4 linked regions of the Alligator mississippiensis genome follow. The protein of the gene in region 2 interacts with the protein of the main gene of each other region in a pairwise test. Links are inferred from orthologs where the notes say so. Each region holds a gene or a part of one and is shown on either strand. Other genes may lie near its edges. The genes, in order: IYD, TRIM69, ASNS and FKBP1B.

The links.
Region 1: the proteins of TRIM69 (region 2) and IYD interact in binary tests that used the Homo sapiens proteins (3 or more experiments, as listed by UniProt). The two-hybrid records come from large-scale screens. The link is inferred for Alligator mississippiensis from reciprocal best matches to the Homo sapiens genes TRIM69 and IYD.
Region 3: the proteins of TRIM69 (region 2) and ASNS interact in binary tests that used the Homo sapiens proteins (3 or more experiments, as listed by UniProt). The two-hybrid records come from large-scale screens. The link is inferred for Alligator mississippiensis from reciprocal best matches to the Homo sapiens genes TRIM69 and ASNS.
Region 4: the proteins of TRIM69 (region 2) and FKBP1B interact in binary tests that used the Homo sapiens proteins (3 or more experiments, as listed by UniProt). The two-hybrid records come from large-scale screens. The link is inferred for Alligator mississippiensis from reciprocal best matches to the Homo sapiens genes TRIM69 and FKBP1B.

What each region holds. Positions count from the first base shown.
Region 1 is NC_081824.1:129,388,336-129,395,396, reverse strand, and holds the start of IYD (iodotyrosine deiodinase 1), read right to left. Parts: upstream 3,002-7,061; 5' UTR 2,880-3,001; coding exon 2,693-2,879; intron 1-2,692. UniProt on the Homo sapiens protein: Catalyzes the dehalogenation of halotyrosines such as 3-bromo-L-tyrosine, 3-chloro-L-tyrosine, 3-iodo-L-tyrosine and 3,5-diiodo-L-tyrosine.
Region 2 is NC_081834.1:40,908,412-40,916,316, reverse strand, and holds the start of TRIM69 (E3 ubiquitin-protein ligase TRIM69), read right to left. Parts: upstream 3,019-7,905; 5' UTR 2,324-3,018; intron 1-2,323. Other genes in the region: B2M (beta-2-microglobulin), read right to left, coding at 7,245-7,258.
Region 3 is NC_081828.1:171,293,470-171,300,949, reverse strand, and holds the start of ASNS (asparagine synthetase [glutamine-hydrolyzing]), read right to left. Parts: upstream 3,017-7,480; 5' UTR 3,006-3,016; coding exon 2,912-3,005; intron 2,691-2,911; exon of another isoform or gene 2,600-2,690; intron 1-2,599.
Region 4 is NC_081824.1:15,854,955-15,862,883, forward strand, and holds the start of FKBP1B (peptidyl-prolyl cis-trans isomerase FKBP1B), read right to left. Parts: upstream 3,008-7,929; 5' UTR 2,914-3,007; coding exon 2,877-2,913; intron 201-2,876; coding exon 153-200; intron 1-152. UniProt on the Homo sapiens protein: Has the potential to contribute to the immunosuppressive and toxic effects of FK506 and rapamycin. PPIases accelerate the folding of proteins. It catalyzes the cis-trans isomerization of proline imidic peptide bonds in oligopeptides.

The sequences.
Region 1 (7,061 bases), on a different chromosome or scaffold from region 2:
TATAATGGGAACATGAGTGCAACTAAGGGTATTCGTGCACTGCATGTTAGACACAAGGGTAATATAGTAAAAATTCAGTTTGTAACTGTCCCAGGAAAGCTAATGCCAATTATTGGGCTGCAAATGTGTAAAACTCTAGGCTTGATTAAAAGAATGGATGCCATTGAGGGATTAGAAAGCAAGAACTTAGAAGAACAGCTTTATAATGTGTTTCCAGGCTTCAGGAAACTGCCAACTGAGAACAAGATAGAATTAAGAGAACCAAATACTCCTACTATACACGCTCCAAGAAATGTTCCCCTTGTACTAAGGGAGAAACTGAAAAAGGAATTTAATAGATTAGTTAACATGGACATAATAGGAAAAAGTCGAGCATCCAACTGCTTAGGTTCATTCACTGGTCATAATAGAAAAAAAGATGGATCCTTGAGATTGTGTCTCGATCCTAAGCAAATGAATAGGTACATCAAAAGGGAACATTTTCCCATTTCAACCAGGGAAGAGGTTTTTGTCAATGTGGCAGAAGATAAATATTTGTCCACTTTGGATACCTCTTCTGGGTTTTGGCAAGTTCCCCTAGAAAAGGAAAGCACTAGATTGTATACCATCAATACACCCTTAAGAAGGTATTGCTTTTGTAGGCTTCTCTTTGGACTGTGTTCTGCATCTGAACTGTATCACAGAAAGATGCAACACATTTTTCAAGGTCTTGATTGAACGAACCATGGTTATACTGATGATGTATTAGTTTGGGGAAATACTGTGATAGAGCATGGTTTGAAGCTAAGAAAAGCATTAGAAAGAACTCGCAGAGCAGGTTTGAAACTGAACAAACAAAAATGCAAATTCAGGGTCAAAGAAATAACATAACTAGGAGAAAAACTTTCTGAGAAAGGGGTGCACATAGATCCTGCAAGGGTTAAAGCCATTACAAACATGCCACCCGCTACAGATAAAGGAGGAGTGCAAAAATTACTGGAAAGGATCAACTTTGTAGGCAGAGTAAACCCACCCTGGACAGGCACGTACACATGCAGAGATGTGGGAGCAGATTTGGTTCTACTGGCAGCAGTCTGCTCCTGCCTGCTCCAGCCCTACACTGGCCCCCTGCAGTAGCCAGCCCAGGGGTTGGCAGGAAGCATCAGGTCAGGAGATAGCTGTCTCCTGGAGCAGACTGGGAGACTGCTCCCTGCCCCCAGGAGTTGCCAGCTGCCTCGAGCAGGCTCTGGTGGCAGCACCCAGGCGGGGACCATGTCCCTCTATTTTGGCAGCAGGAAGTTCCCAGCCCTGGCTCCCCAATCAGGGGGCAGGGAGCTTGGAAAAAGCTGCAGGAGAGCGGCAGCTAGCCACGAGCCCCCAGCTGGTTGGGGAATAAGTAGAAGTAGAACCTGGCCCAAAGTGAAGTAAAAATTAAATGTTGATTAGTAGCATGTGCAGAGGCAGAAAGCAGGTTGAAGTTTTATATGAGCTAGAAAACCTGGCTTTGGGGTGGGTATCATTTTGGGGTGCAAACCTATGCATAAAACTTTAAAATGATTTGGTCAAGAAAGGTGGTTACATTAAATGAGAATTGAAAAACAAAAGCCCTTCTTTATCTCAAGGGTTTACAAAATTCTGCAGCTTTGCTTTACAAAGAAACAGGGGAAACTGCATATTCTAAGAGCAGAAAGGACTGTGCCTTTTGTGCACATACACACTTATAGCCCAATTCTGTATCAGATCTACTCATGCAGCCTTGAGACTTCATGCAAGGACAGAGACCCTGTTAGTTAGGTTCTTATTTATTTGTTGAAAATTTGACCCTAAAAATGTCTCCAAATAGAGTTCAATCCCATAATACTGAAACAGTTAAAGGCCCCATGGTTATCAGCATATGCACGGCTGAGGACTGCATGTCTGAGCCAGTTATTGTAATTGAAGGAAAAATACATATACTTTACATATTCATAAACAGTTAATGGAAATGAGCTGGCAGGTCAGACAGACACACTGTGCCAATGATAGCAATGAGCAGGATAAAAGTATAATGAGCAATGTATAATTTCAGAGCATACAAAATCAGATAAAATCATGTCTCCAAGATCCCTATGGTGATGGAAACACATGTGCTTTTGCAGAACCCCTCCTTTCTCCATATCTGATGTTGGGTTTCCTACCCATCAGGGGCTCAAGAGGGGAAAAGGGGTATTGATGGTACTAAGGAAATGTGCGTTCTTCAGAGCTCAGAATAGAAATATACACTGAGAACTTGTTACAGCCCTACATCCTGCTTCCACAGTAGAGACACACCACCCCTTTGAGTAAGCAGAGAAGTAGTAAGCAGAGGAGTATCAAGAAGTCCTGTTCAACAGGAGGTCAAACCCCACTTTCCAGTATAAGGAATGGGAGACCTCCACAGTGGGAATTCGTATTCATTTTCTCCTCTCTAGCCCCCTCTCACAGGTTTTGCTACAGGATCAAACAATTAGACCCCCCAGTTACTTTTTTAAAGCTAATTGGGTTGACTAGTCCTTACTACTGTCACTTTCTCTGCCAGAAGCAGACATGTATGACCTCTGCCCTGCTAAGGAAAGTGCACTGTAGCTGCAGAGCTGTATGCACACTCAGTAGTCCAGAGGATCATGTCTCCCTTATTCAAATCAACAGAAAATTCAGACAGGAAAAGTGCTATGCTGATTGCTATTTTCCTTACCGTCTTCCTCTACATGAAGGTCAGTGCTGTCTCTTAAGTCTTCATCCACCCATGGGTGAGATTCTGGTTTGTTTTTAGTATCACTCTTTTCTTTCTTGCTGCTTTTCCTTGTGTTTTTCAGAATTATCCCAATCAAAACACATATCACTGCTATAAAGACTGGGGTCAGGGAGGAAAAGAGTACCATGGTCAAAGAGTTAAATTGAGAAGGGGGTACTCCTCCTCCTCCTCAGACAATTTGTCTTCCAAGAAGAAAGAGAGGAAATAGGGACTGTTTGGAGGGTGATGAGAAAAAGGGGTGGAACAAAATGTGGAGTGAAGGAGGAAAGTTCAGTGCTCAGACTTGGTTGCTTTCCCACTTCAAGGCAAACATTTCTGATGGCAGTAGTGCTCTAGCATGGCTAATTTGCATTCAGAGGCTGCCAGCAATCAGGACATTTTCAGAAAGCTAGATCTCTTTTGTCCCCCCAGGTGTGTCTTTTCTGCATCTGCATCCAAGTTATAGAATGACATTCCCAGCGCTTCCATAACCTCTCTCTGAATTTGTTTGCTCTTGTCCTTATTCTATCTTTAGGGTATCATTTTTTTATTTCAACAGTGAAGCCTTTTGCATTGCAAAAGCCATATGTCAGATTCCCTAAAGATCATAAGCTTATTTTAAAAAATGTAGGGACGTGTTGGTTTCACATTTTTCTCTGCAATCATGAGGGCTAGACATTTACTCTTCTTCCTTAATGAAACCTGAAGTCATGACTCTAGGAAAAGCATCAAATATTGAGAACCTACAACGAGCTGGCAGCACCGCTATATACTGAGTGTCCTATGTAATTGCTTATGGACAATGCACTGGCTGAAAGGATCCAGCTCTTTAGAGCTGAGATATTGCTCAGATGCTGAAAAGGGGGACAGATGAAAGGCCCTTCTGTGTGTCCTAAATTTGTTTGGGAGTGTTTGCCACAGATGGGGTTAAGACCTCCACCACTCACACATGATGTCTCCTCCTGTCCTTCTCTACTTCCTCTTTCTGCCCCTTCTGATTCATTTTTGTCTCTGTTGCTGCTCTTAAGACTACACACACTATTTTAACTTCCAGGAAGTAACATATCGCCAGTGACACTGACTATACACAAAGTACTGTCCAATGTATAAAAAAAATTCTAAAGGCAAAACCCTGAATGAACGCAACCTTGTTCTCTAACGTCTTTCGGTCTTCTTAAACGTGCTAGTTTATAACAAGAAGCAGAAAAACCCGTGAGATAGAACTCTGACTTTCAATATTGATGGTGCCTCTTAAAGATGGTTAATTATTAACAACTAATGATTAGTTAGGGTAGAATCTATCCTGGAACTGTGACTCCGAAAGGGTCTCATGGGTCATGTTAGATAAATAATTGCCCAAGAGTTTCTGGTCTAATTCTTGGGTGTATAAGCAGTGGGATACAATAGCTGCCTAAGCACCCTGCTGGCTGGTGGAGTTGTCTAATCTGAATCAGGTTCTCAGGCTCACAATGCATGGGAAGAGTTAGGCCTAAGGAAGAATTCCCAAAAACTACTTAAGTCTTACCCAGGGGTGAAATGAAAAGGAAAAAGATGAGGCTTGAGTGATGATCTCTGGCAAACACCTCCCCCCCACTCCCCACTTCAGTCAGATCAGCTACATAATTGGCCACAGCTGATTTTTCTTATCCATAAAAAAAATGGGGGGGGGGGACCCCCCACAAACAGCAAATAGTCTTGTGATGTGGGATACTGAATTCAAATCGTCCCTTCTCTGCCTAATTTGGACTCGGGTCTCCCACTTCACTGGGGAGCACCCTAACCACCAGGAGACAGACAGGTCTCACTAGCATTCCCCGTGTGGTGGGCTGTCACTTGGTTTTGGTGTGATCAGAGCATGCCTAAAGGTTTGAGAAACCTATTTCAAAGCTTTGACTAGAGCTATAAGCAAATCATTAACTGAGAGGTGAAATCAATTCATAGGTGGCAGCGTGTAGGTCATTGGTTCCCAGCCTCGGGGCGCAAGCCAAATCAGGGTCACAGGGTGTCCTCAATAGGGTCACGAAGGGCCTACACATACCTGCACATGCACACTCACACACATGGCCCAGGAGCATCAGGTGGGGAAGGACTGCCATGCACAAAGGGAGCAATGGTGGCTTCCCCGCTCCTGCCCCTGAGCTGCACTCCACTCCCAGCAGCCCCCACGGTGCTGGGTTGGGAGGTCCAGTTGGTGGCCAATTTAGGGTTGCAGCATAAAAAGGTTGGGAACCATTGGTGTATGCGTTAAACAGCAGATGAGCAGAGGGTCCCAATGATATCAGTGCTGTCTAATTGTTAGACTTACAAGTATAAAGAGACAAATGAGTGAACAAAGACCTATAAGAATCTGAGCCCAACTCCCATAAACAGGAGAAGAGTAGACGGCTCTTTCATTACATAAGACATCATCAGCTCCAATGGCTGAAAACTGAAGTCAGACAAATTTGGACTGAAACTAAAGTACATTTATGAATGCAAGGGTTATTAACCACTGAAGCAACTTGCCAAAGGTTGTAGCAGACACTCCATCCTTGAATTCTTTAAATCAGCACCAGGTATGTTTTTAAAAAGATACATCTTCTTCAACCAGAAATTATGGGTGTGATATAAAAATGATTCAGTGGATTTCTGTGGTCTGTAGAAGATCAGAAAAGATCATCAGAATTGCCTCATCTAGCCTCAAAATTCACAATTCTATGAAAACTGCCTGTGCAATATTTGTCTTTTTGGGTTTTTCAAAAGAAGATGGTGAGGTGGGGTAATGGTTTGCTTTTCATCGTTGTTTTTGAAGTCCTGGCTTCACGACAACAATGGAATAATTTTGAGGCTGTGGGAACTGGGAGCTGGAACTCCAAAATTATCTTCCTGGTTCTGCCTCTAAATTCACTCTGTGGCCCCGTACCTCAGATTCCCCATCTTTATAATAAATGAAAATGGAGCACCTTGCAGGGTTGCTGTGAAGCTAAATGCATTACATCTCACAAAGGACAGGTTTAAGCTCAAATGAAAGATGCTAGAGAAGTGCATATTACCGTAATGAATCTATGGTTGCTTAGGGTTTGATGGTTGTCACTATCCCAAAGAATTTGGCCACTGAGGGTGCTGGAAGACTTTCATTTAATGGCACAATGGGATCTGATCCCAGATCCCAACAATTGCACATCCTGGCAAGTTGAAAGCCATGTACAGTACAGCCCATGGGTTAAGTGAGAGGAGTCAATTGTCTGCCTCCTCCACCATTCCCCCACTCAGCAAGTTCAGATGCAGGGTAGCTTTTAAAGGTCCCAGGGTGCTGGGGTGCCAGAACTGGGGAAAGGTTCCTCAGTCTTGGGCTTTCAGCACCCCAGGACTTTTAAAACCCATGCATGCAGTTGTTGGAAGTCCCAAGGTGCTGGGAGCCTAAGACTGGAAACCCTCTCCCAGATCCCAGGTTCTCAACAGCCCAGCTGCACACAAAGTTTTTTAAAGTCCCAGGGTGGTAGGACCCCAGGTTTGAAGAGCCTTGCCCTGATTTCAACTTTCCAGAGCTCTGGGACATTTAAAAAATACATGTACAGCCCAGTTGCATGCACAGCCGTTTGGACAGGCATGCCACATGTACAAATTACAGCCTGATACAAATGCATCATTTAAATATACCATAAATCTCTTGCACATGTGGCACGTTGCACATTTATTGTGCAGTAATGTATAACAGGGATAGACCCTACATCCTCCTGCTTTGTAAGCACGCTTCTTGGCCACCTGTGCTAAAGCAGAGTCTTTGTCTGCTAACAATACAGTACTGTACCCATGACATCTACTTTAATGAGCTAAGGTGGATGACAAACTGCATGCTTGTCACCTCAATACATTATTATAGAATAGCCTGGAACATAAGAAAGGGGGTGAGAAGCAACAGCTGCGAGGATCATTTGTCCTGAGTTTAAATGTTTTTGCACAGGCATTTCTGCAGGTAACTTCTGTCTCTCTCCCCCTATATACAGGTTTCCCTCGATTTATAGTGCACGTGTTCCTGGAGAACAGTGCATAAATCAAATTCACAGAAAATGAACCCACTTTACAATGTAACAAATAGGGATAGGTTCCCATGGTAGTGAGGGAGGGAGGGAGGCTGGGAGTTGGGAAGGGGCGCTGCTCCTGGGGCTGCACAAGACAGCAAAGCATAGGGAACAGAGCAACATTCACTCCAGCCCCGGCTGCAGTGGCCCTGGGAGCGGCTGGCGCCAGCTGGCTCTCCCCACTCCCCTCTACTCCTGGCTGCAATGTGCCCTGGTGCAGGCAACTAGTATTGGCTGATTCTGGGGCTGCTGCAGCCGGGACTGGGGTG
Region 2 (7,905 bases):
CACCCAACACATTCCAGGAAAGCACATCCCAAGAAAGCATATTCAGGGAAACCTAAAAGGGGTTGGGCTTAGGCGGAGCAGTGTCAATTTCAAACCTAAAGGTGCTGCATTGTAATTGTCTTATTGGATAAACCCAGGCCTGGGTAGTAACCTTTTATGATAATTTTTAACACCTTTCAATCCCATAGGGTAACAGCTAGAGGGTAAGATTGTGAGTGGCTCTAAAGCCAACAGATTAGCATAAGACTAGGTATAAAAAGTGCGTGCATCAGGTGACCAGTAGGAAGGAGGGAACAGAATGGTCATTGTTGTTCCATGCCCGGACCCCAGACTCCTGGTGTGAGTGAGGATCAGATCCTGATCAAGGGATCTTCCCTGGTAATCCCTCCAACAGCATCGATCAGGGACGCCTGACTTTGCTGGAATCACCTGGCATTGAGAGACTATCAATAAGTTGCCAACCCATGTCTGTCTATCTGTTGTTTTAAACAGCCCAGTGGCTGATACCCCCACAGTGCCCAGCTGGCCTGCGACAGATTGATCTTTCTATCTGTTGTTACTATCTGTTGTTATTATTTACTATTAGCTGTTTAATACTGCATTATCTGCTTATCATATTTATCTTTCTGTTAACTGTTGTGTGTGAGAGCTATAATAAATTTGCCTTTATTTCACTCCCAACTTTGCCTCCTTGATCCGAAACTGAACCAAACAGCCCAGTGGCTGATACCCTCGCAGTGCCCAGTTGGCCTGTGATAGAATTGATACAGTCACGGTGCCCAGCTAGCCTGTGACACCATCATAGAGGACAGTCTGGTTGTCCTCTATTGATACACAGCCGGATGCCTTTATGCCCTCTACTTTTCTCTTCAAGAAAAGAGAGGCCCCTCCATTGAGGCCCCTCTCTTCAACAGAAAAATAGAGGACGTAAAGGTATCCGGTTTCATAGCAATAGAGGACAGAGGACAGACTAGCAGAAAACTGGAATGTCCTCTATGATGGCCACCCTAGATGCTTTGAGTTTATAAAGCTTGAAAACCACTGCTCTTGAAGACCCAGTCTCACATACTACCCTCACCTTCACCCTGGGCACCCAAAATTCAAGTGTCTTATTTGAAAATCAAAACCTGTACTTATATTTTACCTGGCTACATTTTGTATCTTGGTTGCCCTAATCTAGAGCCTCCCAAACTTTCTGGACTAATAATCACTGTCAGCTCTCAAAATTGATTGCAGACCACCATGCACCTTTGTCCTAAAACTAGACTGATGCAATCTTCAGCCACAGTTTGGGAATCCCTGCCCTAATAAATGATCTAAATGACTGTAAGAAGCCCTCCCATGCCACACTGGTAATTGAACCCTAAAGCTTCAGCACTGCAAATCCAAGTCACAGCCACCTGAATTAAAGGAGCAGTCTCCCTACCACAAAGCAGTAGTAAGCTTTTATTGCCTTTTGAGGAACTGCCACAACAAACATGTGGAACCAGAAATGTACTGAATACTCCTGGTCACATGGGATTCTTTGAATCCTTAACGCTTCAGGACATTTTTTTTTTATGTAAAAACACACACACACACACACACACACACACACACACGCGTGCGCGCTTTTAAATATAAAGAAATAGTCCTGCGCTGAGTTTCACAGTGAAGGTACTGGGCCCTCAGTCATTCCTGTCCTCGGCTCGGTGAAAGCTCACACAAGAAACCCGCGTGCCCCCCCTCCAGCTAGCCCTTCTCTTTTCCTTATAATGCCTCACCCCTATGACAGCTTATTGGGCTGCATTTTTCTTCCCTGCCTGGTCTTGTGTAGGATTTTCTGTCTGAAACACACTGGAAAGGGAGGAGGCAGATGCCCTGCAAGGTCTGATCTTCTGCCCATGGCAGCAGGTGCATCAACCGTGACAACGACTCTGAGCCTTCCTGCAGGTCACACCACGACGCTTTGGCCGCAGGGTGGAAAAGCAGCCAGAATCAAGGCGGCTTCTCTGTGCTCCCTCCCCTCCTGTGCTAAGCTTCAATTCACAGCGGTACATCGTAGTGAAGGAGACAGCAACAGCGTGCAGAGCTGCTGGGCATAAAGCTAAAGGGAGCGTCAGACAGCCCAGAGCCAGACACTGGCCAACATCCAGCAGCTCTGCTCTACACATACCCAAAGCACACCTATCACCCCCCTTGCAAAGGCATCGTAACTCACAGTGCACACCCCCTGCCGGCACCTACGCCCCCCAAGCACACGCAGACTTCTGTAAATGCTCCCCCGCGCAGGTCCCGGCCAACCCTGGGGCGAGGCTAAGCGAGCCCATGGCGGAGCTCTTACCCATAGGTGACAGGCCTCAGCGAGCCTGGGGCCAGGCCCGTGTGTCTGCGGTGAGGACGCAGGAGGTGGAGGGGGCCGTTACTGAGACATGCCACCGGAAAGCGGCTGGGGGAAGGTTCTGGAACCGGGCAGCATGGAGGCAAGGACCGGGGGGGGGTGTCACAGCCCGGGGGCAGGGGCAGCAGTAAAAGACCTGGAGGCTGGAAGAGGATGGCCACTGGTCTGATAGATCCAGAGGATGCGGTTGTGATCTGGAAGGAGACCAGTGGCCATTCAGCAGCGGACGTGGCTGTTTGAGACGGAGGTGGCAGCTGACAAGAGGCACAGCGGCAGTTAGCGTGCGCTGTGCTGCCCCTGCCCTTTCCTCTAGCGCGGGGCTCCAACAAGCAGGGCCTGCTGACAGGGGAGAGGCTAAGGGAACTAAGATAATGCTTTGCCAACAATTAACATCTTAAAAGTGCTGTACAAAACTCAGCTCATCTAGGGGCATCAGGAAAGTCAGAAGATTATATAGGAAGGTCAGCTAGAGAGACTGGCAATACTGTAACAATAATGCTGGCTTCACATTGTCCTTCAGAAGTATTTCAGTGCTCCTGCCATTAAATCAGGGGTGGAAAACATACAGCTGCTATACCTGGCCTGCTGGGCATGACTAGGAGGGGGATGTAGCCTGGCACCAAATCCTGACCCCTAGGTCCTCAGTGGATATGGAGTGAGTGGGGGCTGTCTGACACAGCCATGGGCTGCCTGCAGCCACCTTGCCAGCCTCTATGACTGCAAGTGACTGCCTTGCCTGCAGCCACTGTCTCCACCATCACTGCAATGACCACCAGCGCTGCCATGCCCACAGTGGCTGCTGTCACTGTTGCCCCATGACCAAGACCAAGTCCAGCCTGCAAGGGACCCCACAGGCCAGATACATCTCAGAGCCCGAAGTGAGTTTGACATCCCTGTATGAAATAACTGAAGGGGAACCTCAAGCTCAATTTAATCACCCAAATGTAAGCTTAATGAGAACAAGCTTTTCCAGAGCTTCACCTCATTAGAAATGTCATGTTCAAGGGGCAGGTAGGTGGGAAGTGCAATGGCACCTTTTCCCACTGTTGGAGGTGAGAAGCCCGAGCTGTTCTTGCCTGCTGTGTCAGGGCTGGGCCCAGCTGGGGGTGGGGGACAGGGGCAGCAGGGATGGACAGGGATCCCCCTGCCTGCACCTGCTCCAGCCAGGCTGTTGCCACTGCCCCCTCTCTGGCTGAGCCCAGGTCCTGCTCAGCCTGGCTGCCTCTGCAGCTCCCTGAGCAGTGGAGAATGCAGCAGTGGCAGTGGGAGAGTTGTGGGGAAGGGGGAAGCAGAAAGAGACTGCCTCGAACAGGATGGGGGAAGAGGGGATTTTCACCTGCTTTAGGGGCTAAAATGAAGTCTGCCCACAGTCATGGGGGCAGAGGCTGGGAGCAGAAGGCGCAGACATCCCTGCGGTGTAAGTTGCAGCCACCCCTGTAGCATCCGTTGTTACTCCTGCACCGTTTTCAGAAATCCTGGATCCGCTCCTGGTCACATCAGATTTCATTTTGTTTAAACTTTCAAAGGAAATGGCCTGTTTCTAAAGGTGTAACGTTTCATTGCTGCATCTCCAGCCTAAATGCTAGCAAGTTCTGGTGGCACGTGGGAACTAGGGAAAACAGACTTCTAAATTTGCATTCATGTTTTTGTACACCTAATTTAGAAGATGAAGCTCAGAGACTTCACCTACACATCCATAGCATCAGAAACATTCTGTCCTGTTGCAGTCCTTCCAAAGTTCCCCGAAACAGAAGAATTCCCTTATTATTTGTTGTTGTAGTCAAAAACTGAGCAAAAGCCAAGAACTGGCTTTTTTTTTAAAAAGAGTGCCTAGTTTTAACAAGGTGGGGAACCACTAGTTTAAAGGGTTTGAGCACCACACTGCATTCAGTGCCGTGAGACTACAAGATGCCGCTAACTCAATAAATAACATATTTCACAATATTTTATTAAAATGTACAAGACAAAATGTGCTGCAATTAAGCATACACCTACCCCATCCCCAATGCAGGTAAGTAGATTCAGGACAGTACAACTTTCAAGTCTGCAACATAAGTTCTGCTGTTATGCCTTAGGCACAGAATGGATAAATTGCAAATAAAATCCAGGGATTTTGATCTTGATCTCAAGATTTACTTTAAAGTAACTGATCATTTAAAGTAGCAAGAAGCCTGTATTGTATTTGCAGGTGTTCTTTAACCTAACTAAGGTATCTAATGTCTACAATGCACTTATGTTAGTAACCAAGTGCTTCTCTCTCTCTTCAGAGAGCTCAGTGAATTTGGGCAAAAGGCCCAAATTCTTAGCTCTAGACAACTAAGTGCCAGATCAGAGTTTATGCCAGCGAATTTTCACTTCAAGAAGACCCTCACCCCCCTCCCACTTCAGAAACAATAATTCAGTATTAACTACAAAGCTATATGCATTCATTTTAAATATCAAGTAGTTGGGTGCAAGGTGACAGGACTGCAGGTTAGGGCTGAAGCCAATTTCAGAGTGCAAAGCAAGGCACAACTTCAAGACCTGAAAAGGTAAAGAGATAAAATGTATTAGTGAGGAAAATAAAACTTAGAGTAATTACAGTTATTTTAGAGGACAAGGAACTGGAAAGACTCCAAAACCCAAGCCACAATAATCTAGAATCCCAAAAGGCCTACGCTGGAGGAATGGCAAGAGGCCATCTTATCCACCATACTGAGAGAATCCCCAAATGTTTGTTTGACCTGTTCTTCCACCGCCTATGTGTAGCTTGTTCCAGCATGTCCCTGTTTTCATTAGTATCCACCCCCCACATCTACTATAAATCTACTTTGCTGCAAGTTAAGCTACACTTTTTTGTCCTTTCCCAAAACAACAGGATGAACAATTCATCACCAGACTCTTCAGCAGCCTTTTACATTCTACAAGACATGTCCCTATTCAGCCTTCTTTTCTAGACCTTCAACTTCCTCAAAGGTCATATTTTCTAAACCCCTCATAATTCTTATTGCTAGAATATCCTTCATTTGTTTACATCTTTCTTTGAGAGTGCTACCCAAAACAGTGCAGTTCGCCAGCTCCCATGTTCTGAGTAAAACCCGTTATCTCCCTGGTCTAACTATTACAGTTGCTTTTTTGCAACAGCATCATTGACTCAGAAGTTTATTTCATGCAACTTCCCAGATTCCTTCCTGCTTCAGCAAGTGTTCACTCCCCAGTTGATTTCTAACTGTGGCACTTTGCAGGTACCTTTATTGAATTTCACCATGATTTCTGACCATTTCTCCAATTTATCAAGATTATTCTGAATTCTGATCTGATTCTCCAGACAGCTGGCAAACTTTTCTAGTTTGATGTTGCCCACAAATTGTTTCTGCATTCTCTAGTCCATCCTCCAAGCGGCCATCCTCCCTATTACTGAATTAGAATCATGCCCAGAAAAGGGTCCCCAAGGAATTCCCACTTTTAGGTTTACATATAGACAAGTGTCCCAAGGTTGCTCTCTCTCCTTACAAGTCCTAATAGATCCTAATACTACTACCAAAAAATTAGAGAAAGTTCTAGGAGCAGTTATACCTCAGGAGTCTTATTCTGTAACCAGCTGTAGCTTTTGAGATCAGTTTGAATTCCTCAATGTAAGCACTGATCCCTCTAGCAGTATATTCCAAATCACATATTTGTGGAACCTTCACACAAATTAAGTCTACCCAAGCCTAATGGGGAGTCTGAAATATGCTTAAAATACACCAATTTCTATAGCTTCCTTCCATACTAGTGGTTATGTAGTAAAGGCAGCTTCACATCCAGCTGCTTTTACTACCCCCCACCCTCCCAGAACCACATACCCATACCCCCTTTACAGCTAGATCAACTCAGGACAGCATTCACCATGAGTCTAGGGACACCTGAACTTATGTCTTCTGGAACCAAAGCAAGATGCTTCAGCTGCTCTTCTACCCTTTCTCTGCTGCATACTAAACCTTACTGGTATTCAAAGGGCTAACAGATATGGGGCTAGCCCCTCTCACTCAACCACTGTAATGATTTCCTATCTCCAATGCAGTCTGCAATACACTGGAATATGGCCTATGACGTGCTTTGCAAATTCATCTCGTTTCAAAGGGCTGCTTTCTCTAGTTCCTGGAGAACTGAGGAGTCTCTAGAACGGGTGGGCAAAATACAGCCGGTGGGTCAGATGTGGCCCACCAAGGGAATCTGTCTGGCTCACGATGGGTCCCTTGGTCCTGCCCAGCCCAGGCCATGGCATGTGTGGCCAGTCCTAGCTCCCATCCTGCCCTACCCACAAGGGTCCTGGCTGGTCTCCACAGAGACCCCAGGATCATAGGGCGGTGGCAGCATAGGGCCAGGGCAGAACAGCCATACATTCCCTGCATGCATGCCCCTGCCCACAGAACCCATGCCTGTTGTAGGGCCATGTGGGGAGTAGTTTGCGAGACTGTCCTGGCTCTGCTGCATCACTGCACCAAGATCCCAGCCCCAGCCACCCCCAGATTCCAATCCAGGCCACACAGGGAGCTGTGAACTGTTGCAGTTGGGAAGAGGAGGGTGCTGATCTGGTCTATGACAGCTCACCAAGAACTTTCTACATGGCCCTTGGGCCCTAATAACTGCCCACCCCTGCTCTTGAAGGACTAGATATTGTTAGGTATAAATGTTAGGGTGATCACACTCCCAAAGTACACCACAAACATCTACAAATCTAGTGGGAGGACACCGTCTCTGTTCTTCATCCTCTGGCCCTTGCTTCCTAATGCAGGAAGCTGCACACTCCCCTCCACAACGTGAGGATCAGTCTGGTACTGAACTCTTTGACAGCAAGACAAAGAAAGCATGTAACTTACCATCTTTGGCTGAGGAAGACGGTTCAGTTATCTGGGTCTGCAAGAGAAAGTGGCAGAATATGAGACTTCCCTTCAAACACCATAAATAACCTTCCTACAAATCACAGAACACATGCAATGCAGTGCTGGATGAAGTGCACTCTTCCAGCAGCCAGATAGATGCTCAGCATAACCAGTGCTGGCTGATGCAATGGACCAGGCCACTGCCACCTGTATCTGTCTAAGACTTTATCTTAGTTTTGTTTGTTGCAATTAATTATTTTCTCTCCTCCCAACAAGCCAAGCTCAGCTGAATTCCATCCTGCCCTGCATCTCCAAACTACAACCACAAAAACCAAGTCCAGAAGCTCTTTTTAAAAAAAAACCACCACACTGTACCAGTTATAAGAGTCAATCCCACATTTTCAGGTTCAATTTTAAAAACCATGTTCCAGGGAAAAAGCTGTTGATAACTTCTGATCAAGACCTTCGATCATGGCCCTTGCAAAATCCCAAAGGACAATCAAACAGACAAGGAAAGAGCCAAAGAATTAAACTCCACTACAAATTCCAAAGCAAAACCCACATCAAATGAAAAAACATCATATGCACAAAAATACTGCAACTGCAAGTCAGGACAACAGGGAGCCCAATTATACATCAAGCCCATGTATAAATCAAAGGGTTTTTTTTTTTTTTTTTTTT
Region 3 (7,480 bases), on a different chromosome or scaffold from region 2:
AAATAGGCCTCTCAGAGGCAGCCCCTTTCATCCTCCCCTAACTCCTGCTGCTTCTTTCTTTGCTGCTGCTGCTGCTTTCTCTACTGCTGAGGGGCAAGGAAGCTCCAGAGCCATCAGGGACAAGTTGGGGCTGGGCTCAAGTTGGGGGTGGGACAGTAGCCACAGGGTGGCTGGAAAACAGTTCCCCCCACTCTGCTCAGTCACCGCATGAGAAAGATGAACCCTCTGTCCATTCCCACGCTGTCACTGTCGGCATCCCCAGCTGTGCCTAGCCCCCATGCAGGCAGGAACAGATCTGGTGCTTCCCCAGGCAGTGAGGAAAGGCAGGGGGGGAAGGGGTGGGGAGAAGGCATATGTCGCAGAACACTTAGGTGCCCTGCTCCTAAGAAGGGAGAAAACTGCTAGGGAAAGAGCCCTAGCAGTGAGTAATGAGTCCAGCTGTTGGTTGCCGGGGCAACCAGAGGAGGTCCGCTGACCAGAAGGGGCAGGGCCTGGCTCCCATATAAAGCCCAGGGGCAAGGCCAGAGGTAGTTCCCTACCAGCAGGCAAGAGGGAAGGAGCTCTCTGTCTTGGGAGAGAGGAGAAGCCTGAGGCAGGAGCAGCATGTAACTGCTGTGAGATGAAGAATCCCCGGTAGGCTTGAACGTTGTTATGGCCAGGCAGCTTCTGTTTAAGTTATAGCTGAAGGGCTTGCGTTTGTGTTGCAGTTTGTCACTGGTGGTTTGGGTGAAGCTATCAGGGGATGAGGGAGGCCTCATAGGGGACTCACAGTGGTGTGGAGACCCCAGTGCCAGTGAGGGTGCAGCATTTGGGGTGCACAGACCCCAACCCCAAAGAAGGGGGCAGCATTGTGGAGAAGCCCCAGAGAAGGGGACAGCATTACTGAGGAACCCTGGAGAGGGGGCACTGCTGAGAAGCCCCAGTGCAGGCACGGTGAGCCCTGGAGAGAGGGCAGCATTACTAAGGTGGCCCCGGAGAGAGGGCATGGAGAGAGACAGGGCTGCAGAGAACACAAGTGCCAGAGGGGGCGTGGAGACAGAGAGAGGGAGAGAGAGACAGAACAATGTCCGTTACACCTGCGAGGCTTGGGGCGTGGTACATGCGTGGTAGGAGCCACGCACAGCTGGGGTGTACGGAACACCCAAGACAGGAGAACCGTGGCCAAGAAGACAGAAGGCAGCCTCCCTATAGAAATATATAAAATCAAAGTCATGGCAGGAAAATTGGAGGGTGTGAGTCGGCACCTTGGCATGGTAAAGGAGGTGGCAAGGGACAGCACGGTGACCCTGACCACCCTCCTGTTACAGAATACCTCTGGGCAAGAAGGGGATGGGAGAGAGTGTTTTCACCTGCTTTAGGGACTTTCAAATGTCCCTATAGGCTCCCACAGTGCAGTTACAAAAAAACCAGGATGTGCTGGTCACTTTCCATGACACTTTAAACTGAACAGTTTATACCTTTCTAAACTGGCTTGGGCATCTGGACACTTGTGAACAGAACACACATTTGCCCTCTGGGGTCAGGGTGCAAATCTAAAACCAGGTTCTGCCATTTTTAGTCCAGTCTGTGCGCTCCAAAATTCTGTTGTTACAGGTATAAACCAGTTTACTGTGCTGAGCTTCTGTTCTGTTATGGGTACAGACCAGTTTCCCATCAATTATAGTAGTAAGTGTAATGTCTACACCTGGCCTTGTGGTTTAAACTACATTTAAACCCGTCCAAGACTTATGTTCTTGGACTTATGTTCTATGCTTTGTTCTGCCCCTCATGTTCTTAGCAGACTGCACAGTCATGGGCCACATCAAGAGTATTCACAAGGGACTGAGCCTCTGTACACAGGAGATTAGTCTAGACCTAGAGTATGGCTCGATCTACATTAATCAACCCTGGCTGAAAAAGCAGAGTCCTCCAGCGAACAAGTGCTATATGATGGCAACTTTTTGGCTGTCATCTCACTGCCCACATGCATACTCTAATCCTGCAATAAATAAAACAAAACTCATTCCACATATTTTCAGAGAGAAGCCGCTTCATGTTTAACAAAAGTGAAGAGCTTGCATGGCAGCCCTTGTTACAGAGCACTGGACATGCTGTAAATTCATCCCTTTGCTTACCTCATGGAAATGTGAGGTAGCTCATTCCACTTATTTTGTTCGGGCATGCCCATATCCTTAATGAGCAAGAGTTTTAATTCAACTGGATTCTAATACCCTCCCCTCCCCCACTTACTTTGTGCATGACAGCAACCCCTGCTGCGGGATTCATTGCTGGGCTCTCGGCTATTTCCAGGCTGATGGGGGAGAGGGGAGGAAAGGTGGGGGGAGGCTATCTTCCTACCTCAGGAACAAAAGTATTTTTGCAAAAACCGAATGCAGTGGCTGGGCCAGTGCCCAGGCCGGGCAGGACCTGAAACCACCCTCCACCTGCTGCTCTCTCCGTCCTGGGGGGGAGCAGGTCCCCAGGTGCTAGCGGAGGCAGGACAAACCCTCCCCAGCGCCTGCCCGCCCCCCTCCGGGCAGAGGTTGCTCAAGGCACCCACAAGCGTTCAGGGGGCCGTGGTGCCTGCTCCCCGTGCCCTTCCGGCTCCCTCCTTGTTAACCTGGGATCCACTCTGTCCTCCTCCCATTTGTCCTAAGAAATCAGCTGCTGCATCCTCAGCAGTCCCCTTGGTGGTAGGCGGCCCGCGCCCCCGGGCGCCGCCGCGCTCCTTGCAGCCAGCGAGCACGAGCGGCCTCCCGCCGCCGCCGGCTGATGCAACGCGGCAGAGCGCCGGATCCCTGGTGCGTGCTGGGGGGAGCACATGGCCGGGCTGCCGGCCCCCCGCTCCGCCCAGGCGCTGGGGCCATGCGGGCTGGGGCGGCAGCCGGAGCCGCAGCGCTGCGCCCGCGGGGTCCCCCAGCACCTTCCCTACCTCCGCGTGAGCCGGAGCGATCCGCTGCTGGTCCCGACCGGGAAGTGACCGGCTCCTCCTCCCGGCGCTGCTGAAACACGGGGCTGGATTTCATCAGGCGGCGCGCCGCGCCCCGCCCCGCCCCGCCCCGCCCGAGGAAGCTGGCTCTCGCTCCCAGCGCCTGGGTCGGTTCTCAAAGCTGATCTGTGCACACGTCCAGGTTGTTAGTAATGAATTAGACAGGCCGCAGGGTTAGTGTCATCAGCAGTGTGCGTTTACTAGTAACCATGTCAGATAATACGATGATCTAGCTGGGGCTGGTCCTGCTTTGAGCACGGGGCTGGACTAGATGTGACCTCTTGAGGTCCCTCCCAACCCTCATTTTCTACGATGCGCATCATGCATCAAATACTTGATCCTGAATAAGGGGCTGGGCTTATGGGGCAAAGGGTTTTTTCAGCTCCCCGCAGCCTGCACATCTCCACATCCAGAGAAGCCTTGGAGAATTTGGGGCAGGGCAGTACCTGACCCAAAGCTCAGTTTTCACCTGCCAGCTGGGGAGATACCATGACCACGATGGTGGCAAGGGAAACCCTGACCAAGGGAGTGCAATTAAAACGGCACTGTGTAGTGGAGGGTTGCACCCTTGTCTGCTTGCAGACAGGACTCCCTACCAGAGCCTCATAGTTAGCTTCCCGCTGGCCAGCTTCCAGTTGGAGGATCTCAGCTACTTGATGACTTTATAGAAATGGGGATCTCCTCCCTAGCTTGTTCCTGTGGCCGTAGGGCCAAGGGCAAGCCAAACTCGGGCATCTGAAGCATTGGTGACACGTAGGCCAATGAGATCAGCCCTGCTCCCCCTGGAAGCGCCAGCTGCAAAACTGGAAGTGCCAGCAGAAGTGCACTTCTGGTTTTGCTGCTGGCTCAGGGATCATGGGGGATTCTCCCCCCCCCCCCCCAAATCCACAATCTGGTGCCCCATCCCTGTCTCGGGAGGCACCAGTCACCCATGATCTGAAGCCCAAGCCCACCTGCACGTAAGATGCCTGCTAAAGGATTTGGAAGTATTTGAAGCTCCAGGCAAGGGTGGAAGATGTTTTCCAGTAATAGGGCCACTTCTGGTTCTTGAATGACTCATGGATTTGGAATTGATTTGGCTGATCTGACTTGGAACACAAAAACATTTCCTTAAAAAACACACACAAAAAAAAAACCCAACAAACAAACAAACAAACAAAAAAAACACCCCCAAACCTTCCAACTGACAGTCTTCCAGGCCTGTGTGCAATGTCCATTGTTTCCACTACTGATGCATATTATTTTACATTTTTTAGTAAATATACGTTTTTGATGAAATTCTAACTCTTTTGCATGTCTAGTACGTTACTAACAGCTTTTAACTGTGTAATGATTAGTTTTGGAAAAGGAACTAAGAACTAGGAATAAGAAACCCACTTCAGCCTCAATCCATCTCAAAGAGCAGTGGAGAGAAGTCAAAGATCAGAGGAATAGAGAGAGAGAGAGAGAGACTCCTCCCTCTGAGGTATCTGGAGGATCAGCTACAATAAAAGCAATCTGCTCCTTCTATCAGTGATGTCCTGTATTTCTGGAGAAAACTAGGAGGCTGGTATTATTCCAGGCAGCACCAGGGGGGATTGGGGAGCTAGTAAAGCCTACAGTTGCTGTCTGGGAAGCACAGTGTCAGCTACCATTTAAAAGGATCACAGAGTGCTAGCAAACAGTCCTCTCAGTTAAATGCTTTTCAGAGGTCTTTTTTTTCCCCCCATGTGTCATGGTTTTTACAGGCACTCTTTCTTCACAGTGGTAAATGTCAGAGCCTTCCAGGTTGGCATTTCATTGGAGAAAAAAGATAACCAGCAATAATCATAAGAGAAGAAGTGGAAATGCCCTCCAGAAGTCATCTAGTAAGCATGACCCCTGTGGCTTGGGGCAGGATCATCCCTATCCAAGCCATCCCATACAATGCATAATCAAAACTCTTTGTAAAACTACCATCAGCCCTGATGCAACACATAACACCCTAACCTGCCATGGATAAAGCCTGGGTCTGGGTATAGTCTTGCTTGGGCAAAATTTCTTCCTGGGAACTGAGTGCTGGTTGGGCTGACTTCCCTGCAGAAGGGGATTTATCTGCGTTTTCTGTTATCATTATGATGTTTCTGACCATCTCCGTTAGAGAACTGTATTTTACAGCATTCTGGTATGACCAGGATGGTAGAGATGGCATAAACGGGTAGCTGGATCATATAGCCTCAGAGCTCCAAACTGGAAAAAATCAAATGTTAGGCCAGGGAGCTTCTAAGTCTCAGTTGTCCTCCTTCATACTGATATAAAGAAGCAGCAATCAACAGGAAGCATTAAAGGAAATGACTGAGCTAAGGAAATGGGTTGTTAGACACAGGTAATGCTGCCACCCTGACTACAGACCTACTCTGGTTTGAGTCTTTACTTGTTTTAGTTATTGGCTAGGCTGTGCTTTGTACTGTTTGTCACGGCGGGGTCCTCTCAGAGGGCCATGATCTCCTCGAGGTCCCTTGCTCCATGTCAGGCCGGCCCAAGGCACCCTCTAATTCTCGCCCACCATGTCTTGTTGGAAAACGTAATAGGGAGGCTGCCTATGACTCCCTGGGCATGGCTACTCAGGACCTCTGCCCCGGTGTGTTCCGGGACCCCTGGAGGTCTCCCGATACGGTGGGTGTTCCTCAGACACCCTAGCCTTATGGGCTATGCGTGGCTCCTACCAGCCCCAAGCCTCACAGATGTAATAGACGTTGGTGTGTCAACATGCCCGCTTCCTGGGCCTCCTCTATGATCTAGCCCACTCTGGGCTTTCTCTAGTACCCAGCCTCTCACTGGGACTCTTGCCTAGCCCACTCTGGGCCTTCCCTGACGGTGTGGTCCCGCTCAGGAACTCTCTAGCGGGCCTCGGCCCTTCCCTGGCCAACCGCACAGATACCCTCTCTGACCCCAGCTCACTGCGCTGCTACTCCCTGTCTTCTCAGGGGCAACCACAGCGCCCCGCTCTCGGGCTGCTCAGTATGGCCCCACTCTCGGGCTGCTCAGTATGGCGCTTCCCCTCTTGGGGGCTTGCCGTGCCCCCATGGGGCTTCTCAATGAAATTGCCCCTCGCTCTGGGGCTGGGGTTTATGTCCCCTATCTGCAACTTACTGGTTGCGCCCACGACCCACTGGCCACGCTCCTCGCCACCAGTTGCTCCTGCACTGGCGTGTAAGCTGCGCCTTCACTGGCGCTATGAAAGTAATGCACCCCCTTGGCGCTAGCCTGCACCCTCACTGGCACTAGGGCTCCCCACACTCTCTCTAGGGTCCCTATATGAGGCACCTATGAGGTACCTATGATTGAGGTCAACACACCCTCTTGGCACTAGGGCACCCCACACTCTCTGGGGTCCCTATGATTGAGGCTTCCTCCAACCCCTACAGCCTCACCCAAGCCTCCGGGTGTAATAACACAAACACAACTTCAAGCCTCCCAGCTATAACTCCAAACACAACCCAAAGCCACCTGGCTATAACTTAACATCATGGCTTAACCTTTGCTCCAGCAGTACTTGCTGTCAGCCTCAGGAGCTCCTGCCTCTCTGACTGCTGACAGAGAACTACCAGCTTAGTCTCAGCCCTGGGCTTTATAAGGGCCAGGCCCTGCCCCCTACAGGCAGCTGGCTCCCCTTAGTTGCTCCGGCAACCTGCAGCTGTGCTCAATTGGCTCTGCCAGGGCTCTCTCCCTGGCAGTTTCTCCTCTCTAGGAGCAGGCACCAGGGTGCCCTGTGACACTGTTATAAAGGGAAATGGAGCACAAGGGACTGTTTGTTTGTTGTTGAACTTGCTTCATTTGGCTTAGGAAAAGAGAGCTGCCAAAGTTTGTATTTGTAGGAAGAAAGGCTGAATGATGGATTTAGTATGCTCTATTCCAGTTTTGAAGAAAGAGAATTTTGGGAAAAGGACCTTAATAACTGCCCAAACTTCCTTAATGCAGGGCTAAGGCCACCTTGTGGGGTGTTGTGCCCTGCTAAACTGTTCAGGGATACTCTTATCTTCCCACAAGCAAGAAATTAAGAGTCAAGGTATGTATTCCAATTTAACTTTCTCTGCCTCTCTTCTTGGGGCTGAGAATGGACACTGCAAGTTATCCACATCTAATCCAAATGCTTTTGGTGTGTTAGGTATAGCTGTATATAAATGGTAGAGGAGGAATTAAAGTAGTTTCGTGGAGCTGTAGTTGTATTACAAAGAAATCTGGCTTTGATATCCTCCTGCGTGCTCAAAAGAAAAATGCATCTGTAACTTGATTGTACTTTAAGAATACCTCCTACTTCAACAATGTTTTGAGATGCACAAGGGTCCTAGCAATTGTAAAGTGAATAACAATGCATGGGTTTTAAGTGGGTAGAAAATGCCATAAAATTTAGGGAGTAGAAAGTAGTTTCTGAGGAGTAAGCATAATGTTTGAGTGAAGAACAGGTGTAGGAAGCTCCTAGTCAATGCAGCTTATTAAACCGAAACAAGCATTTGGTGCTAGAGTTGCATCCCATTTTATCAGGGATGCAGA
Region 4 (7,929 bases), on a different chromosome or scaffold from region 2:
AGCCACGCCTCCAGAAGATTCATCAGAAAAGTATCAACAATGAAACAAAGGGCTAAAGAGGGGCAGGGGAAGAAAAAAAAAATCCAATTTGAAATGACCAGTAACTCCTAAAATGCAAGACAGTTTGGACAGAACATACAGAACATGCTTACCTGTGTAGTGTACCACACATGTCTGACCCTTCTTTGGAAATGTCCTCCCTGTTGAAAACATAAAATCTAATTAAAAAAAAAATCTTTGGTAGCATGCCTGCTCACGATCAGCTTTTAGAATGAATGGGACGAAGAGGCTAGGCTGGGGACTAAATCCAGGGCTGGTTTAGGTCTGAGTGACATTTTATCCAAACGGCCAATATCCAGAAGGGAGATAGGTAACTATAGCTTAGGAGAGAGAGTTCCCGTTATGATCCATGTTTAGTTTTGGGAATAATACTAATATTTTCTCATAATATTGCCTTTTCCTTTCATACAAGGATACCATATTTTACACTTACTGTAACATTAGATGTTCCCCATCAATGGACTATATCCTGCTGTTGCAAGGGGAGTCTCAAAAAGCATAATGGATAGATCATGTTCTTAAATTTCTCTGAGCCATTTTGCTGTCATTCACAAACAAAATCAAACTCTGGGATAGTGGTAAAGTTCGCTGTTAGTATTCATAATTCAAATGCCATATATTTAACATTACTTTCATGAGAACACATGCAATTAGTAAATGGGAAAGCTTCCCAAAAATCCTCTCTCATACAATACAAATGCATTTTTTAAATTGGCAACCTTGAGGCACTGATATCCTGAAGGGAGCTCTTGAAAGCCCCTCTGTAACAATGGTTATTTTGCCCCTTGTTCTGACACTAGGCATAAGAGAGTGTTTGAATAAAACACTTGCCATTGTTGAGAGTTACTCATCTACCCTAGGTTCTGCCAGCAGGCTTGGACAGGCATACAAAGCTGCAGGGAAATTTTCCAGGACACATCCAAAACTTCCAAGTAGCAGCAGATTAAAACAGATACCACTGATTTGCAGAACTGAGTTGGCAGGCACAGGACCCAGGCTCAGCAGAACTGATCTGCAGTATATGGGATGGGATGTACTAGTGGAGAAACAACCCAAGCAGGAGCTTCAGAAGTTGGATATTAAGGCAGGATCCTGCGCCAACCTCCATGATGGCCTTCTGTTGTCTCTTCCGTCTGAGTTTCGTGTGCTACCACAGCATGCTTTATTATCAGGTATGATCTGAGACGGACAGTTGTACACCAGAAACAAATAGTAGGAGGAGGGCAGCAGAAACGGTACGCAAGTCAAGCACAGATTCCTAATATATAGCCATCAGTAGTGAAGAGGTTTCCAAACCTTTTACAAACTGCCTACTCTGTTTAGACTGGAAAATGGCAGCGACTGCTTCTTATGATACATTTGTATAACACCGAGAACAATGGGGCTGGTAGCTAGCCATAGCTAATGCTACTGCCACCCACAACAGGCCCCAGGCAAAGGATATGCTATTAGATTCAGAACTAAATGAGAAGGAATATGGCACCATTCATCTTTGACCTAATTTCCACTTTAGTAAAAGTAGGTGTTATGCTAAGAAATTCAATGGACCTGTATCAGTTTGCATGAGGGCTGAATTAGACCCAAGGAAGCCAAGACCACTGACTACAGCAGAATGACTGTCGAATAGATCTGGGGCAACAGTACATACTAATTGTGGTTTGATGACACTGTTCAAATCAAGCAGTTTAGATGAAGATTTACAAACCAAAGAAAAGATATTTATAACCTTAATTTGAACAGCATCTCCCATAGTTAGCACATCTCTGTATACTGCACAGGTAAATAATACAATTCCAAGACTAAATTCTATCCTCAGCACCACTTACAATAGCTGCCCTTCTTCCATGTATGGAGATCCCCCAAATTTAGGGCAAATGGGAGCATCATTTGGCCCTCAAAGCTAAACAAAGCAGCAGAAGAAGAAAATGAAGAGTAGAAAAAAGCTCGAGCCAAGAAAGGTAATCCAAGGATGAAGCTGGCCCCTTCATACAGCTGTATATTAGCGATGGTATTTATCTTCAGAGGTAGTATGGTGACGCTACCAGCCCAGAGCAGAGCAGCCCTGACTTGGTTGTGAAAAAGTGATCTCATAAGCTAAGATTCACGTTCAGTCTAAACTTGAGCTGCCCATTGCAAACCTGGGAGAAATGGTCAGGCCTGTCAAAATGCTGCTGCTGCGCCAAACATTGCTGCCATACCCAGCCAACGGCTCATGAAAAACTTTGGAAACACATTTGGGAAACTCTGGGAGCCTGCACGTGAAAGGCTCGCTTCGACCACAGCTACTTGCACGACTGCAATCGTGTCTCACGTTCATTCCCACGCTCTCCCCACAGGAGTCAACTGTAACGTGGAAAAGTGTAACGTGGGAACAGGAGTGGTGTCAGCAGACAAGTGCCCTACAAGCTGTCTTGCTGCTGCTGCCCCAAGGATGCCTCCACCAGGATGGGCTTGGGAAGCCAGCCGGCGCTCGCTGCTGCCTGGGGGCTCCCGCACGTTGAGCGGGGAAGCGCGCTGCGCTAGCATTTGCTCTCGTTACCCCCGTGCATGACTTCACCACACTTGGATTTATGCAGCTGTCAGCAAATGCCATTTAGACAGCCCGGCCCTCTGGCCACGCAAGGGGCAGCCGCCCGCTCGCACCCACAGACCCTGCCACAGCCACGCCAGGGATGCGCCCACCCACCTGCTCCCCTGCAGCCCCTGACCGCTGCGGCTCTCCTCTCGCCAGCGGATGCCCCCCCCCGCTCCAAGTGCTCGCAGCCCCTCTGATCCCACGTCCTGCCCCTGCCCCTGCCCCTGCCCCTGCACGGTACCGTCTCCCGGGGAGATGGTCTCCACATCCACGCCCATGGCCACCGCCGCCGCCGCCGCCGCTGCAGAGCCCGAGCCCGAGCGCCTCGTCCCCGGCGCGGCTGCCCCGACTGAGCGCCAGCCCCGGCCCCGCCGCCGTCACCGCCGCAGCCAGTGCCTCCCCCGCCAGCGCGGGGCGGTCCCGGGCTCAGGGGGGCGGGCGCCTGCTGCTGCTGCTGCTGCTGCTGCTGCGGCCGCGGCCCCGGCCCCGGCCCCGGCCTCTGCCCGCGCCCGCGTCGGGGTGCCGGGGCAGGAGCGGCGCCCCGCAGCCCCTCGGCAGCTTCCCGCGGCCGCAGCCCGGCCGGGTCCAGGCGGTGGGAAAGGGGGGACCCTCCAGGACAGCCCGGGGGTCACCAGGCACGTTGGCGCTGTGTGCCATGGGCACGTTGCCACTCCAGAAGCCCCCCGGAGTAGATTCAAATCGAGGTGGCGACCCTAAGCCAGCTCGGATCACCAGCCCCACTGCAGCTTTTCAGAGCCGCAGCCTGGGCTGATCCGGGCTTTGGGAAAGCGGGGCGCAGAGGGCAAGGTGCATCCTTCCCAGAGGAGTGGTGGGCGCTCAACCTTTTTTTGTGCCAGGGCCCATTTGCAAATACTGACGGCCAGTCCCGACCCAGGGCCCCTCACTCCTCAACCCCTGCCCCCAGGTCCCAACTCCAGAGTTCAAATTACTGGGGAGCTCTGCCCCCCCCCCCCCCATCAGAGACGAGAGCCCCTTTGTAAGATTTGAAAATCATAACCTGGAGGATCTCCAATTTTATTAGGGCATCATGATGTGCAGGCCTATCTTTTGCAGACCCCCACAAAAGTCAAAGCGTGATTTGAACCCTGCCCAGCCCCCAAGTGTATGGGGTACAGGGTGGGTGTGAGGGACAGGCAGGGGGCCTGAAAAGCCTCAAGCAGCCCCTAGAACACGGCACAGGCCTTTGCCCAGTTTAGCCACAAGCTTTATGATGGGCTAGGCGCCTCGGGCAGGATGGTTCGCTGCCAGACTGAAGTGAAGTGAAAACAAACAGAACTCCACTGAAACCAGTGGGGCCCCCCAAGGCTCTGTCCTAGGACCTATACTATTTAACATCTTCATCAATCATGTGGACATAGGTGTCAGAAGCAGACTGGCCAAGTTTGCTGATGACACCAAACTCTGGGGTAAAGCATCCACACCAGAAGACAGGCGGGTGATCCAGGCAGACCTTGACAGGCTCAGCAAATGGGCAGATGAGAATCTGATGGTGTTTAACACCGAAAAATGTAAGGTTCTCCACCTTGGGAGGAAACACCTGCAGCATCCTGATAGGCTCGGCAGTGCTACACTGGCTAGCACTACAGACAAAAGGGACTTGGGGGTCATGATTGACCACAAGATGAATATGAGCCTTCAGTGTGATGCTGTGGCTAGTAAAGTGAGCAAAAAGCTGGCTTGCATCCATAGATGCTTCTCAAGCAAATCCCAGGATGTCAACCTCCCATTGTACTCAGTCTTGGTGAGGCTGCAGCTGGAGTTCTTCATCCAGTTTTGGGCTCCACAATTCAAAAAGGATGTGGAGAAGCTTGAGAGAGCGCAGGGGAGAGCCACACGCATGATCAAAGACCAGGAAAACAGACCTTATGATATGAGGCCGAGAGCCATGGGACTCTTCACCCTGGAAAAGCACAGGCTCAGGGGTGATCTGGTGGCCACCTGTAAGTTTATCAGGGGTACTCACCAGGATCTGAGGGAACATCTGTTCACCAGAGTGCTCCAAGGGATGACAAGTTTGAACAGTCATAAACTCCTCAATGACCGTTTCAGGCTGGACATAAGGAAGAACTTCTTTACTGTCTGAGCCCCCAAGGTTTGGAATAGACTGCTGCCGGAGGTGGTTAAGTGCCTACCTTGAACACCTTCAAGAGACATTTAGATGTTTATCTTGCTGGGATCCTATGACCCCAGCTGACTTCCTGCCCCTGGGGGAGTGGGCTGGACTCGATGATCTTCTGAGGTCCCTTCCAGCCCTAATGTCTATGAATCTATGAAATGAGTTAGGAACAGCTGGCTGAGCTGTGGGATAGGAGCTGTGCCACCAGGAGCCCAGACAGCAGAATGGCAGAACAAAGGCTGGTTTGATCCTAGAAAGGTCAAGACCATTAAAAAAGAGAGGCTCCATAACACCCATGGAACAAAGAGTTTAGAAGGGATCAGGTAGACTGCAATGAGCTGTGAAGTCAAGGGACTCCTTTGCTGCTGCCTGAATAGAAATGCTGCTCATGCTGCCAGACAGTTGGTTTTAAACTTTGGGTGGAGCAGAAATCAAAGGGGGGTACAACTGTACCACTGCCCCCCCTGGATCTGCCTCTGCCTTGTGCTCCCGCACTGCTTCTTGATGGTGATCTCCCCTGGGCCCCCACTGCCCACTGCCCTCAGTTATTAGCCATTTCCATTGCTGATTGGAAGGGGAGAGTCAAATTGAAAGGGACAGTCACTGGGGTGGCCATGCCAAGCATGCACACATAAGGCAGAGTATTCTTTGGCAAATCTAGGATTTTGAAAGGGGGACGTAGGGGCAGATGGCCTGGTGCTTCACCATATGCAACAAAAGACATGTTTTTATCCAGGTAAGAAGAAACTAGAAGCTTTAATCTGCTAGGGGCCTAGGGCCATATTATTCAGTTTAAGATCAAAGCAAAAACACATATAATTTTATTGGCATGTGTGTTAATTTGCTATATTATTTATTCTGTATAAAAAAAATCAGCAAACTAGGCAAAAATAATGAAAAAAATGTTGTTTCTTCAGTCCTGCTGTCATTAGAACTAAATGTGCATCTCTTTTAGATTTATAAAACAAAATCTAGCCTTCTGGAGCATCTTGACAGTACATCCAGTATTTCACTGAAAGAAATTTCCACACCTCAGCCGATTTTCATGTACTTTTTTGTTTGTATGGTCTGAAACAGGCACTAATATATATTTCAAGCGTGGTAGTTCACAGAGAAAAAAAATCTGTTTTTAGTAGGCGTTTTCCCCCTATCATGTTGAATTAAAAGTTGTAAACACCGTGACAGATATGTACATACTTCAGGTACCTCTGTAGATCAGAAACACTATATTCCCTTAAGTGATTTTGTACATGAATCTCACCATTTCCATTGGCTCTGAGGGGATCATTTAACTGATCAATCTGTGTTTCCTGGCCGGTGAGTATACCAATGACATTTGAATTTTAACTGTAAGATATTTTAACTGGATTTTGTTCCCATTTACTTCAAAATTGTAGGTCTGATATTTTACTTCTGTGTTTGGTCTTGTGATGAGGCCATCTCGAGGCCGGTCCAATTGTTGGCCCACCCACCTGTCTAAGGCAGTTTACCCTGTCTTGCCTGCCACACCTTTGATGTTTCCAAAAATAGGTGTTTATAAGCAGGAGGCTGCACATTTGGTTGCCCTGATGCCAAGGGCAAAATACACAGCTCCAAACCTTCCCTTGCACCATGTCATATGCCTTGCAGATCACATCCACAAATCACTTCCAACTCCCCCGGCCCCATTGCTGGGCCACACTTGGACTCTGGCCCAAACTTTGCTTCAGATGTCTTCAGACGTCCTTGGCCACATACCCCTCACTAGGGCCTCTACTCCAGCTGTCCTACATGCAGTCCTTCAGCCCCCCACAGACCCTACTCTACATGGCTCCAGCTGCCACTACTCTGGCCAGCCTATGCACAGTCCTTCAGGCACCCACAGACCCTACTCTATGTGGCCTCTGGCTTTCTGCCCCACACTGGGCCAAACTCAGCCTCTAGCATCTCTCTTGTCCATTACTCTACCCCTCACCAGGGCCACTACTCTGCCCCTCACTGGGCTGCTGGGCCTTATACCCCATGGGCCTCAGATCCTGCTAGATAGACCTTGGCCCTGTCACAGGTCCCACTCTATGGGCCTGGACCCTGCCTCAGACCCCACTCAGTAGACCTGGGTCCTATGCTCTTCTGTCGGGGTATGCTCCCCTAGCCTTTCCCCTCCACAGGATACCCACAAGACAGCAGGGGCTGAGGCTTTTTGACACCCCATCCTTGCCTTTCACTGGGGAGGCACAGGTGTGGCATTTCCTGGGAAGTGCCCCACCACAGGCAGCCCCACCACACCATCCAACCCCAGCAGGGTGCAGTTTCAGGTCACTGCCCAGGACCAGGAACCTCCTTCCTCCCCATAGTTCCTACCCTGACCTTCAGGTGTTCTGGGAGCTGCAGGGTGGATGATGTTGCTCTTCTGGCTCCCTAGATGTCATTACCAGCTCTGCTCCTACGGCCTGGGCTTATACTGGGGCTGCCTGGCCCTTCTCCAATCTGAGGACCCTCTTGCAGTCAGATGACCACCCAATTGGGCCTAACTGCACCTGCTGGCTGCTCTATAGCCTGCTCAAGCCCCTTAAAGTGGCAGGCACCAAAGGTGCCCTGCCACAGCTCTATTCATTGATGGCTGATCTGTGCAACTGTTGTCAGTTTGCATTATATTGTAAATAGCCCTGAATCCAAACTATGCAGTGCGTTAGTATAGCAAATTACTGTAGTATTATTTTACTCCTATTGGAATCAATTGTATGTAAGATATGTCATAGCTATGTTTGTGTGATGCCCTAATTACTAAGCTATTCAGCAAAAAAAGTTGGAAGACCTTTCTCCTTCTCCTCTAGGGGCATGTCTACACAAGGTAAACTGCAGAGTTGCCTAATTAGCTCCACATTAAACATCTCAGCATCTACATGTGTGGCACTAGTAGGCCACAGGAAACTAATAAACTCTGCAGAAAGTTAGGACTTGTAAATACAAGTATTATCCTGCTGTGGAGTGTTTTCATGCACAGCAATGCATGTGTAGACACTGACCCAGCTAGCTGCGTTATAAGACTGTTTCAGTGCAGGGGCTGTCTGCCAGCCAATGCCCTGCTGAAGCACCCTCGTGCTCCAGCCAGCCCCTCTGCAGCATGGTGAGCTGGGTGAGAGCAGCTTCAGGCTGGCATGCAGACCCCCCAGGATCC